Linked DNA regions of Drosophila melanogaster. The protein of the gene in region 1 interacts with the protein of each later gene in a pairwise test. Each region holds a gene or a part of one and is shown on either strand. Other genes may lie near its edges.

Region 1 (4,915 bases):
CGCTGAAAGATTTGCACCATATCCAGTTGCTCAATGAGCACAATGGGCGGTGTGCTCTGTTTCAGGGTAGTAGTTTTTACGTTCGACGGTTGAGCGGTTTGATTTTGCAGCTCCAACTGGACCCAAGACCTAAAGTATACCATGCATAATGTAATAAATATATATTGATGAAAATAACGTCTTTAACTTACGCATAGATCTTGTTAATCCGACTGAAGATGGTCTCTAGGACTGGCAATAGAGTTCCCTTATACTGATCATCTACCAATTGTCCAATGACTTTTAATAGCATCTGCTTGCCATTGCTGCGTTGCAGCAGGAATTCTGTAAGTCGAATGCGATCCGAAATCAGTTGGCACAATGGTTCAATGCAGAGGTTCAAAAACCACATGCAACCCAACTTGGCATCGATTACAATATTTGGCTGGAACAGTACCCAGTGCGTGGAATCTGCATGGGTATAAGTGTCAAATAAAGTAACTTTTTGGATATTTAAAGAACTTACACAACTCGCACTGCAAGATTTGTCCATCAGGCGAAAGTGAGGGCAGTTTCAGGCCAAACGGTTTGATGGAGCGCCCTGGAGTTATGGGTGTATGATAGGTTATTTCATTGATCACCTCTCCGGGCAGGGAGATGTCGAATAGCAGCGAAGTGCCCGAAGCTTGATGGTGCACCACAATCAGATTATCCACCGTGTTGATGGCGAAGCGACCAAGCAGACTTAAGCGGAGCACATGGCACTTGCGTGGAGCCAAGCCCGGTCCATTGAGCAAGTGCACCTCGACTTCCATCAGTCCGGTGGTGCTATTTGACTGGAGGATAAGCACAGCCAGCACGCCGTAAACTTGGCCTAAGGTGACCTTGCTCTCCTGGACATCGCGACTTGGATTGCCCACTGAAAGGAAAGATTAAAACGCTTTTAAAGGATTTTAACCCAAAAGGATTACTTACAGTCCACTTTGGGCAGCTTGGTGATTACTTTCTGCTTGACCAGCACCGGAATCAGGGAGTTTCCTTCGCTGGTGCACAGTAGAGCCACATTGGCATCGCAGCACCAGGCGAACCACTTGATGCCAATGCTCAGGGATTTCACAGAGCGCACCTGTCGCTTCTCAGGAACTACGGTGTAGACCTCCACGCCGGTATTCGAAATCAGGGCCACCTCTCGATTGTGGACCCAAACAAAGCCATGGATCAGAGTCTTCACCTGGTGGGTAATGATGTCCTGCAGCAGAGGCTGATCTCCCTGAAAACATATGAACTCCACGGAATTCTCCTTTCGCTGAACGGCCAAGATTTGGTTGTCCGGCGAGAACTTAATGGACCTTATGGCACCGCCACGGTCGCTCATGCAAAAGGAGATGACGACATCGTCGGGAGATCCAGGACCTTTGACCACCACACCAGTAGCTCCTCCAGACCGAACAGCAAATATCTTTACAGATATAGATTTTTAGCCATCATCAACATGGATTTTTAACATGTTTTAACTATACCTGCTTGTTGGAGTCATCGAAAAACACATTGGTTAGTTGGCTGACAGCATCAAATCGTATGGGATTTGGGGTTAGCTCAATGTAGTGGATTCCATTGGAATTATCCATTGTTGTGCTGGAAAAAAATAAATAACAAACTGCAACAGCACAACTTTTTATACACCCCCCATTAGAGATGTGACTTTAGCACAGGGTGCTAGAGATGTGCCACGAGTAACAAGCTGTTTTAAGTCACGATTAATTTCATTTATTGTACGTGCAAGGATTAAAAATATAAATGTATTTAACATTATTTGTGGTATGCTTACAGTAGATATTTTTAAACATTTATACTATATTTATTTAACCCCTTCCAACTCACGCTATTATTTGCCATCACTATTGCTATCAGCGGTATTTTTGCCAGCCCTATCAGCTGTTTAGTATACAAACAACAGCGATAAGAAAAAACGGCAGACAGGACACAGAAAAATATTTTTTCTTGTGAATTTAAAAAAAGGTCTCAATAACTTTGATTCAACCACTTAATGGGACACCTGGACAAATGCCGCGTATGCTCCAGCGATGTGGCTAGAGACGACGAGGCCTACAATTTGCTGCACCATCCATATCTCGCCGTCAAATTTTCGGAGTGCACAAATTTGGTGGTGGATCCTGATGACCAGGATATTTTGCCCAGCGAAATTTGCTCGGAGTGCTACGAGCTTCTGGAGAAGTTCCACTCCTTCCGAGCACTTTGCATTATAGCCGACAATAAGTGGCGTTCTAAAAGTCTGGTAACTTGGAAGAAAATAGATCGCAGGAAACCTGTTTACGAGGTCGATGAAGATGAGGAAGAGGAGCTGGAGCTGGAAGAACTTCTATTGGAGCCGCCGGAGATGATTATATGTGATACCAATTTGAGTGCACAAAATACCCCAATAGTCGCTGAACAGGCACCGCCAACCTTGGTATTCCATACCTTCACCGAAAATGTCCAGCAACCCCCGGAAACGGAAAAGAAAGCTTTGGAAGTGAGTTTGGGTTTAAGGTTTAAACAGGAGTGTAAGTTAAGTTGTATTCAATGATTTCAGGAGCCGCCATTGACCACATACAAGTGCGACTTGTGCGCCGACGAGTTTCGAGAGGAGAAACGCTTGATTCTGCACAAGAAGGAACACCAGGGACACATGCTGTATCATTGCACTGAGCCCGGATGCGAGGAAGCTTTCAACCGATTCGAGAACCTCAGGCAGCACGAGCTAGAGCACTCGGAAGTGGGCATGCGGTTTGTCTGCGAGGAGGAGGGCTGCAACAGGATGTACCGGCACAAGGCCTCGCTGAAATACCACCAAAGCAAGGCTCACGACATTGGCAAGCCTTTGAAGACCCATATGTGCGAGTTCTGTGGTCGGGTGTTCAAGACTGGCTCTGCCCTAAGCCAGCATCGGTTCACACACGGTGACCAGCTGGTATTGCCATATGCCTGCGAACTGCCGGAATGTTCTATGCGATTCTATAGCACGGAGAAACTCAAGATCCACATGATGCGTCACCAGGGCATAAAGAACTTTAGTTGCCCCTACTGTGGTCTCAAGAAGACGACCAAAAACGAACTGCGACTGCATATCAACTATCATACTCTGGAAAGGACCTGGTCCTGCAAGGATTGCCCCAAAGTTTGCAACAGCTCAACGAGTCTTAAGAAACATATCCGCGCAATCCACGAGAAGGCACGAGATTATGCCTGCAGCTATTGCGAAAAGAAATTTGCCACCACCGACACGCGAAAATATCACGAAATGACCCACACTGGCGAAAAGAACTTTGAGTGTCACGTTTGCGGCAAGAAATTTATACAACCCTCTGCCTTGCGCACCCATCGCAAGGTCCACGAATCGGGGGATAATCAGCAGACCGCTTGTGCTCTGCTGCAACTGACTAGCATGGGTTAAAGAAGTTAACATATTTCTATTTTAGGTTCAGTGGAAAGTACAACATTCATATCGTATTTTACTTGACTCACAACTTAATTAATATTTACATACCTCCTTTATTGAGGGATTTATTACGATAACGAATTAGAAGAGCAGGGAAGAGGCAATTTTTAATAAACTAGTCTTAGTTTCTAATGGCACAAATACATGCCATTTTACCCTTAATAACGTTAACAAATCAGGAAGTTTAGGGTAAATGGCATTAATTAATAAGCTGTAGTTTTTCTATCTTATCAAGAAACTAATTAATATGACAACAACCCGCAATAACGACAATAAATCTTATGGTGTAGGGTATAAGTTAATGACAATAAATCAGAAGGTGGAAGGTACAAGTATATGACGATAACCCCAAATAATGTTAACAAAACAAGAAGAGATTATGAATGGAGACAATAACCCTTAATAACACTAATCAGGAAGTGTAGGGTAAAGTGAATTATTTTAAAGAAACTGCACTTTTAGTTTCTTACCATTTATGTATGTCAATTTACCCTTAACAACGAAAATATCAGGAAGATTAGGGTAAAAGACGTTTAGTATTATAGTCACATTTGCAACTTACACTTTAAGTAAACGACAATAACTTCGAATACTGACAATAAATCAGGAAGTATAAGGATACGGGGAGTTTTGCAATAAACTTTGGTTTAAGTTATTCACGTTTGAGAATATGCCAAGTTATCCAAATCAGGAAGTAAAGGGTAAAGTGCATATTCTTTTATGAAGTGTAGTTATAGTTTTTTGTTTCGTTCTGTTTGTTTCTTAAACTTTAAGTTTGTTGAATTTATAAAATTGTTTTCTTATTACCTATTTTTTATGAACTAAAACCTTTTACTCGGTTAAAAATGAAATTATATACTTTAAGAGTACTATTGTACTTACTGTATCGACAAATAAATACTCCAATAAAGAACCATTTCCTTTTGGGATTCAGAATGTAAATATCAATAATTGTTTAATTATATTTTCAACTAAAACAATAATGTACAGGAATTGTGTGTGTGTGTGTGTGTGTTACTAAATAAATCGGCAGAGGATTCGCTTCCTGCCGCGGACCACTAAAAACTAAAGTACATCTGCTAAAGGTCGTGAGTCTGTTTATTGTATATGGTATAGTATATAGATAGCTTTGCATACATATGTATAATGGTGTGGTAAATGATATGACGTGCCACGATCATTTCCCCCGGTAAATATGGTGAAATCTGTTGCATTAAAATCGTTGTAAATATGATTCTTCAGTTATTGTTATAGATATATATTTGTATAGTTATATATGTTGGTGAGCTAAATGCGTTTTCTTTTTTCGGCTGCTGTAAATATTGAGTGTATAAATATGTTGTATTCGTATGTATATATCGTTTCTATATTTGCGTGTACTGATCCTGGGGGGAAATACGATTTCTTGTCCATCGCGTTCACTTCACTCGTTCTAAG
Region 2 (5,475 bases), on another chromosome or scaffold:
CAGCGGAACCGGCTCTCATCGACGGTGATCTTCTCGATGTCCTGCAGCTTGGCGTTGCTTACGGACAGGTAGGTGACCACCGACTCGGTCTCGTTCTCCAGCTCCTTAAGCAGCGCTGGGCTGATGGTAAGCAGATCGCAGCCAGCCAGGGCCTTGATTTCGCCCACGTTACGGAAGGAGGCGCCCATGACCAGGGTCTTGTAGCCGAACTTCTTGTAGTAGTTGTAGATGTTCGTCACGGAGATCACGCCCGGGTCCTTGAGCGCCTCGAACTTCTTGGTATCCGTGTTGGCCACGTACCAGTCCAGGATGCGGCCCACGAACGGGGAGATGAGGGTCACGCCGGCCTCGGCGCAAGCCACGGCCTGTGCGAACGAGAAAAGGAGCGTCAGGTTGCAGTGCACACCGTGCTCGTTCTCCAGGATCTCGGCCGCCTTGATGCCCTCCCAGGTGGACGCCAGCTTGATCAGAATTCGCTCCTTGTCGACGCCCAGGGATTTGTACAGGGCGATCAGCTTCAGGGCCTTCTCCACGCTCTTCTTGGTGTCGAAGGACAAGCGGGCATCGATCTCGGTGGAAACGCGACCGGGCACAACCTTCAGGATTTCCGTTCCGAACAGCACGCACAGGTAGTCCATGGCCTCGGCCACCTGCTCACTCACGGAGCTGCAAACGATGGTATTCTATGTAGCTTTGTGTGGCAAACACCCAAGTGAACTGCTTACCCCTTCTTGCCCTTGGCGTATTCCACCGCCTTTTGGACCAGCGGCTGGTACCGCTCCATGGACGAAGCGGACAAGATGAGGGAGGGATTAGTGGTGGCATCCGTGGGCTTATAGATGTTGATGGCTGGAAGCAATGTGTAAAGTATTTGCATAAGTGCGGGGCCAAATTACATTGCGAATTTTAGAAAGACCTCGAAACCTGTTGAGCGACTTTCATTTTTCAATCGCCCGACCGAAAATATCTTTGAACTTTTCAAATGTCTGAGCAGGTTTGGCACTCTGCTCCGAAACCTTATCTCTGGTGGCATTCTATAGTACACTTTACTATAGCGGTCACATTTCTAACACACGTAAGCACCAAAGGTCAAACTAAAGTCAGCTCGGATTTGCTTTTCACTTTTATTTGATCTTCACTGCGGCAGACACGACGGATCCGATGGCCCGTCGTTAATGTTTATCTTTTGGATAAATCCATGTATCCTATGTATCTTTGGACTCGGATTCTATGTATGCTCTATATATGTATGGATGTTCGAGCTCAGACTCGCATTTCGCTTTAGTTGCATTTCTGGATTCCCACTTTTGAGGCAAACTTACGCTAGCTTTGAAATCGGACTCATCTTGTTAAGAAAAATACCTTGCGTGCGTACTTACCTTCAAAGTCGCCGGTGTCAGCCACAATTGTGGTGATTTTCTTGAGTTCCTGTAATACCGACATCTTTTGCTTTTTTAACGTGCGATCACTTCCCATTGCCCAACTTCAATGCAATAAGACCGCCACTGGAGCGGCAATTTATACCGCCCGGCTCTGGAAAAATACTGAACAGCCCCAACTTGGGTTTAGGAATCGATATAAGGGGCCATCAGGGGGATTCCTGACAATTAAGCAGACTTAAACTAGCTCCCTAACATTAATCTTTAACTGTGATGATAAGGTATTCAAGCTAATCTTAGGTGAATAGCTTGTTAAATATAAATAACCATCTACTTGTAATTGGACGAATAAATAAGTGCATACTTTCGTTCTTGTACAGAAAGCGCTGAACATTTTGGGTCGGAAGAAAATTTTCGTAAACTAACGATAATTTTAAAAGTATGCATTTTTTTTAGATGATTTTTCTAGTGCAATGATATTGATTTTACTTGGACTAGGCTGGTCACCTACTGAGATTTCAGTTCGCCCAGTACTTCAAATCGGAAAATCACCATATTTGACCGCTTCAAAAGTCATATCTTAGACAATTTTTTGATATTTATATGCCAGAAATCAATTCATCGTTGGTCACCTACTGGGGTTTCATAGCAAATTTATGTGATTTCCTAAAAAAACATGGCTTAGATTATAAATTTCAAATGAATTAGCTTTACCGGCTTTAAATTCACCACACGCCATCTCTAGGAGCTATCGATATGTCTGTGTATCGGATTCCTTCACCAATCCAGATGTTTGTTGATCCACACGTGTGTGCGAAAGATACTCGGTAACAAACAGTTTAAAATGAAACAAAAACACTCGAAGAACAGGGCGAAGCCCTACAAGAAACCAACGCCCGCCCGGCGAAATGAGAGATTCTCGAAGAACTACAGTTTCATCCAGAGGAGCAAGCAAATGGAGGAGTCCCACCGCAGGGAACGAATGCCCACAGCACCGAAACAGGAATATGAGCCCGTGGCGGAGCTGTTGCCGGAGATCCAGGATGATGTGGACGAGACTGAGTTCTATAAAAAGCTCATAACTGGTGTTAATAACATACCCACAAGTAGCCCTTGCAATGGACAAAAATGTGCCCATGACTAACTAAGAATATCGTTTCCAGGTGACATCCTACGCTCAAAAGCAGAGAAGGAAGAGGATCACGTTATTCCCGTGCCCAGGAAGATCAAACCCAAAAAGGAAAAGCGTTCCGAGCAGTTAGGTGTCGACTTGGAAATATACAATTCGTTTTCGAAACGCTTCGATTTTGAGCTATCTACGGATAATATCAACGATTTGATTGCGAGAAAGGATGTTAAAACAATCAAGAGGAACTGGTCCGCTCTGGGGAATGTAAGGTTCGATATACCACGACTGACTGAGGACTTCAAGGAGCCCGACTGCAGCGAGCCCAAGGACATTGCAAGCACGGAAGATCTGCAAAAGTTGGAGGTGAAGGCGTCCATTTGTGCAAACGCCAAACTGCCACTCACTGCCCTGCAGTCCCAGCTCTTCTACATCGCCAATAACTACCAAGATATATACTATCCCCATCGAACTCATGGCAATGCCGAGGATATTCGCTATGTATACTGCCTGCACGCCCTGAACCACATGCTGAAAGTCAGATCACTGATATTGCGCAACAACGAAAAGGTTTCGGCTTTGGCCAAGTCACAAAAAATGTCGCCCAACGAAATCTCTATACCAGAGAGCTTCAGGGACCAAGGGCTTAAGCGGATGAAGGTCGTTTTTGTAGTGCCCTTCAGGGAATCGGCTCTAAGGATTGTAAATATACTCGGAGATCTACTCTTTGGCAGTCAAGATGGTAAGTCACCCGTTGATAGCAAAGAACCTGTATTACCATTAAATGTCCTTCACAGATCAGGCCAGGAAAACCTCGATCGCGAACTATGAACGCTTCCTGGGAGATTACTCCGGGAATACGATTTACTTCCCCAAAACCAACCCAAAGCCAATGGATTATGAGCAAACATTCAGTGGCAACACGGATGACAACTTCAAACTAGGTATTCGTTTTACAAAGAAAACCATGTCCCTATTCTCCGATATGAACGCATCGGACATGTTGATCGCGTCTCCCTTGGGACTGAGAATGCTGGTTACGGACAAGGAGAGCGATTTTGACTTTTTGAACTCCATTGAACTGCTGATAATCGACCAAGCCGAATTGTTCCTGGCGCAGAACTGGGAGAACCTGCTGCACTCCCTGGACCACCTGCACCTGCAGCCGCAGAAGCTGCCCGATACGAATTGCCAGAGGGTACGAACGTGGTGCCTGAGTGGAGCGTCAAGTTTCTACCGCCAAACCCTGTTCTTCTCGTCCCACGAGCTGCCCGAGTTCCGGGCAGTGTTCAACAGCAAGTGCAACAACTACCAGGGAAAGGTGCGAGACTCGAACCTCGTCGAGCACGGAGACATCCGGAACGTTCTGACTCCAATACATCAGGTTTTCCGCCTAATCAATTGCTCCAGTGTGGAGACGACCTTCGACGATCGGTTCCAGTACTTCGTCAAGAATATTATGCCCCAATTCAGTAAGCCCGGTTTCTCGCACTGTATGCTATACGTGCCCAGCTACTTTGACTACGTACGGATACGCAACCATTTCAAGACCGAAATGGTCAGTTTTGTGCAGATAAATGAGTACACCAAGAAAGAAAAGATTTCCCGGGCGAGAGATATATTCTTCCACAGCGGGGCATCTGTTCTGTTGTACTCGGAAAGAGCGCACTTCTTCCGGCGCACGCGGATTAAGGGCATCCGGAACTTGATCATGTACCAGCCGCCCAACTTTCCGCACTTCTATTCCGAGATCATCAATCTGATGCTGAAGACAAATCAAAATCCGCGCGATGGATTTGGGGACGAAATGTCCGTCAGTATCCTGTACACAAAGTACGATCTGCTAAGCTTGAGTAACATTGTGGGCAGTGAGAATGCTGCGAAATTGACTTCTGGTCAAAAGGATTCCTACCTTTTCTCCACCAAAACGTAAATGCTTACACGAGAGCTGACTTTGAAATATGTACATATTTAGTTGTCAATTAGAATATACTAAATGTTAACGCAAGTAAATAGTAATGTATGTGATAACTTTCAGTTGTGGCTCTATTTTTGGACCTAAATACTTTCGTGACGTAGAGATTTTAGGAGGAACTGGCTAGGTGATTGATCTGATGTTAAGGGTGGCGATGTCTTCTCTTTGTTATTACGCAATTTGAAATTATGAAAAAATGAATAATTGGCAAATGGTTGTGTAATAAGAGGCAGCATAAGTAGTGTTTTGCCGATTGATGAAATGATTCAAAATGCATTTGAATTCAATATATTTTGCCTGTTTTTACTTTAATATCCCTTTTTTATAAAGGAAGATTGGCCAGAGCATTATGCAATAAAAGTTATCATTTATAAGGCAATTAAGTGTTAAAAAACATTATTTTGCAGTTTGTATTTGTTTTTAAATGATCACTTCGCTTGATTGCTTGAGATTGCTGGAATCTGGAACCATTACCATATACCGAGTTCCTAAATAGACAATATCCAGCGGTTGACAACCGCATCAAACCCAGATTTGCCAGTCCCAAAATAAATCAAAATTCCTGGCTGCATTGTCATTTATCAACATTTTTAAATATACACATAGGTAGCTTATAAAAGTTCTGGCCTAGACATATAGAGGTAAAATAGTAGCCAAATGCATATTTATGGGGGTCTCTGTGAAAAGTCGTAATAGCTGCTGCACAAGGCGGATGGCTGATGGCGGATATCATACGGCAGAAACGTGTGCGGAGAGCGCTCTTGCCAATATCTGAGAGTCCGAGTCCGTAGGGGCATTACAAGCCTATAAATAAAAATAGTCGACGGCTGCCAGTCTCTGCTGAAATTGGGGAAAAAGGCAGAAAAGCCAAACGAAGAACTAGGGGTTCGCAGGCCGACTGGTGGATGCTCTTTCAGCTGTTAATGGATCGAGATCAACTAGATTGAGGAAATGAGTATTTGGGCTGGGATTTGGGATCTGTTGTATTTGCCAAG

The links.
Region 2: the proteins of CG10147 (region 1) and CG3735 interact in a two-hybrid assay, tested with the Drosophila melanogaster proteins (one large-scale study listed by BioGRID).

The regions. Positions count from the first base shown.
Region 1 is NT_037436.4:6,485,453-6,490,367, reverse strand, and holds CG10147 (uncharacterized protein), read left to right. Parts: upstream 1-1,943; 5' UTR 1,944-2,026; coding exon 2,027-2,512; intron 2,513-2,572; coding exon 2,573-3,433; 3' UTR 3,434-4,201; downstream 4,202-4,915. Other genes in the region: bulli, read right to left, coding at 1-129, 192-450, 506-898, 955-1,438, 1,500-1,607.
Region 2 is NT_033778.4:23,936,431-23,941,905, reverse strand, and holds CG3735 (uncharacterized protein), read left to right. Parts: upstream 1-2,151; 5' UTR 2,152-2,223; coding exon 2,224-2,485; intron 2,486-2,542; coding exon 2,543-3,247; intron 3,248-3,302; coding exon 3,303-4,438; 3' UTR 4,439-4,829; downstream 4,830-5,475. Other genes in the region: Taldo (transaldolase), read right to left, coding at 1-666, 726-849, 1,380-1,476.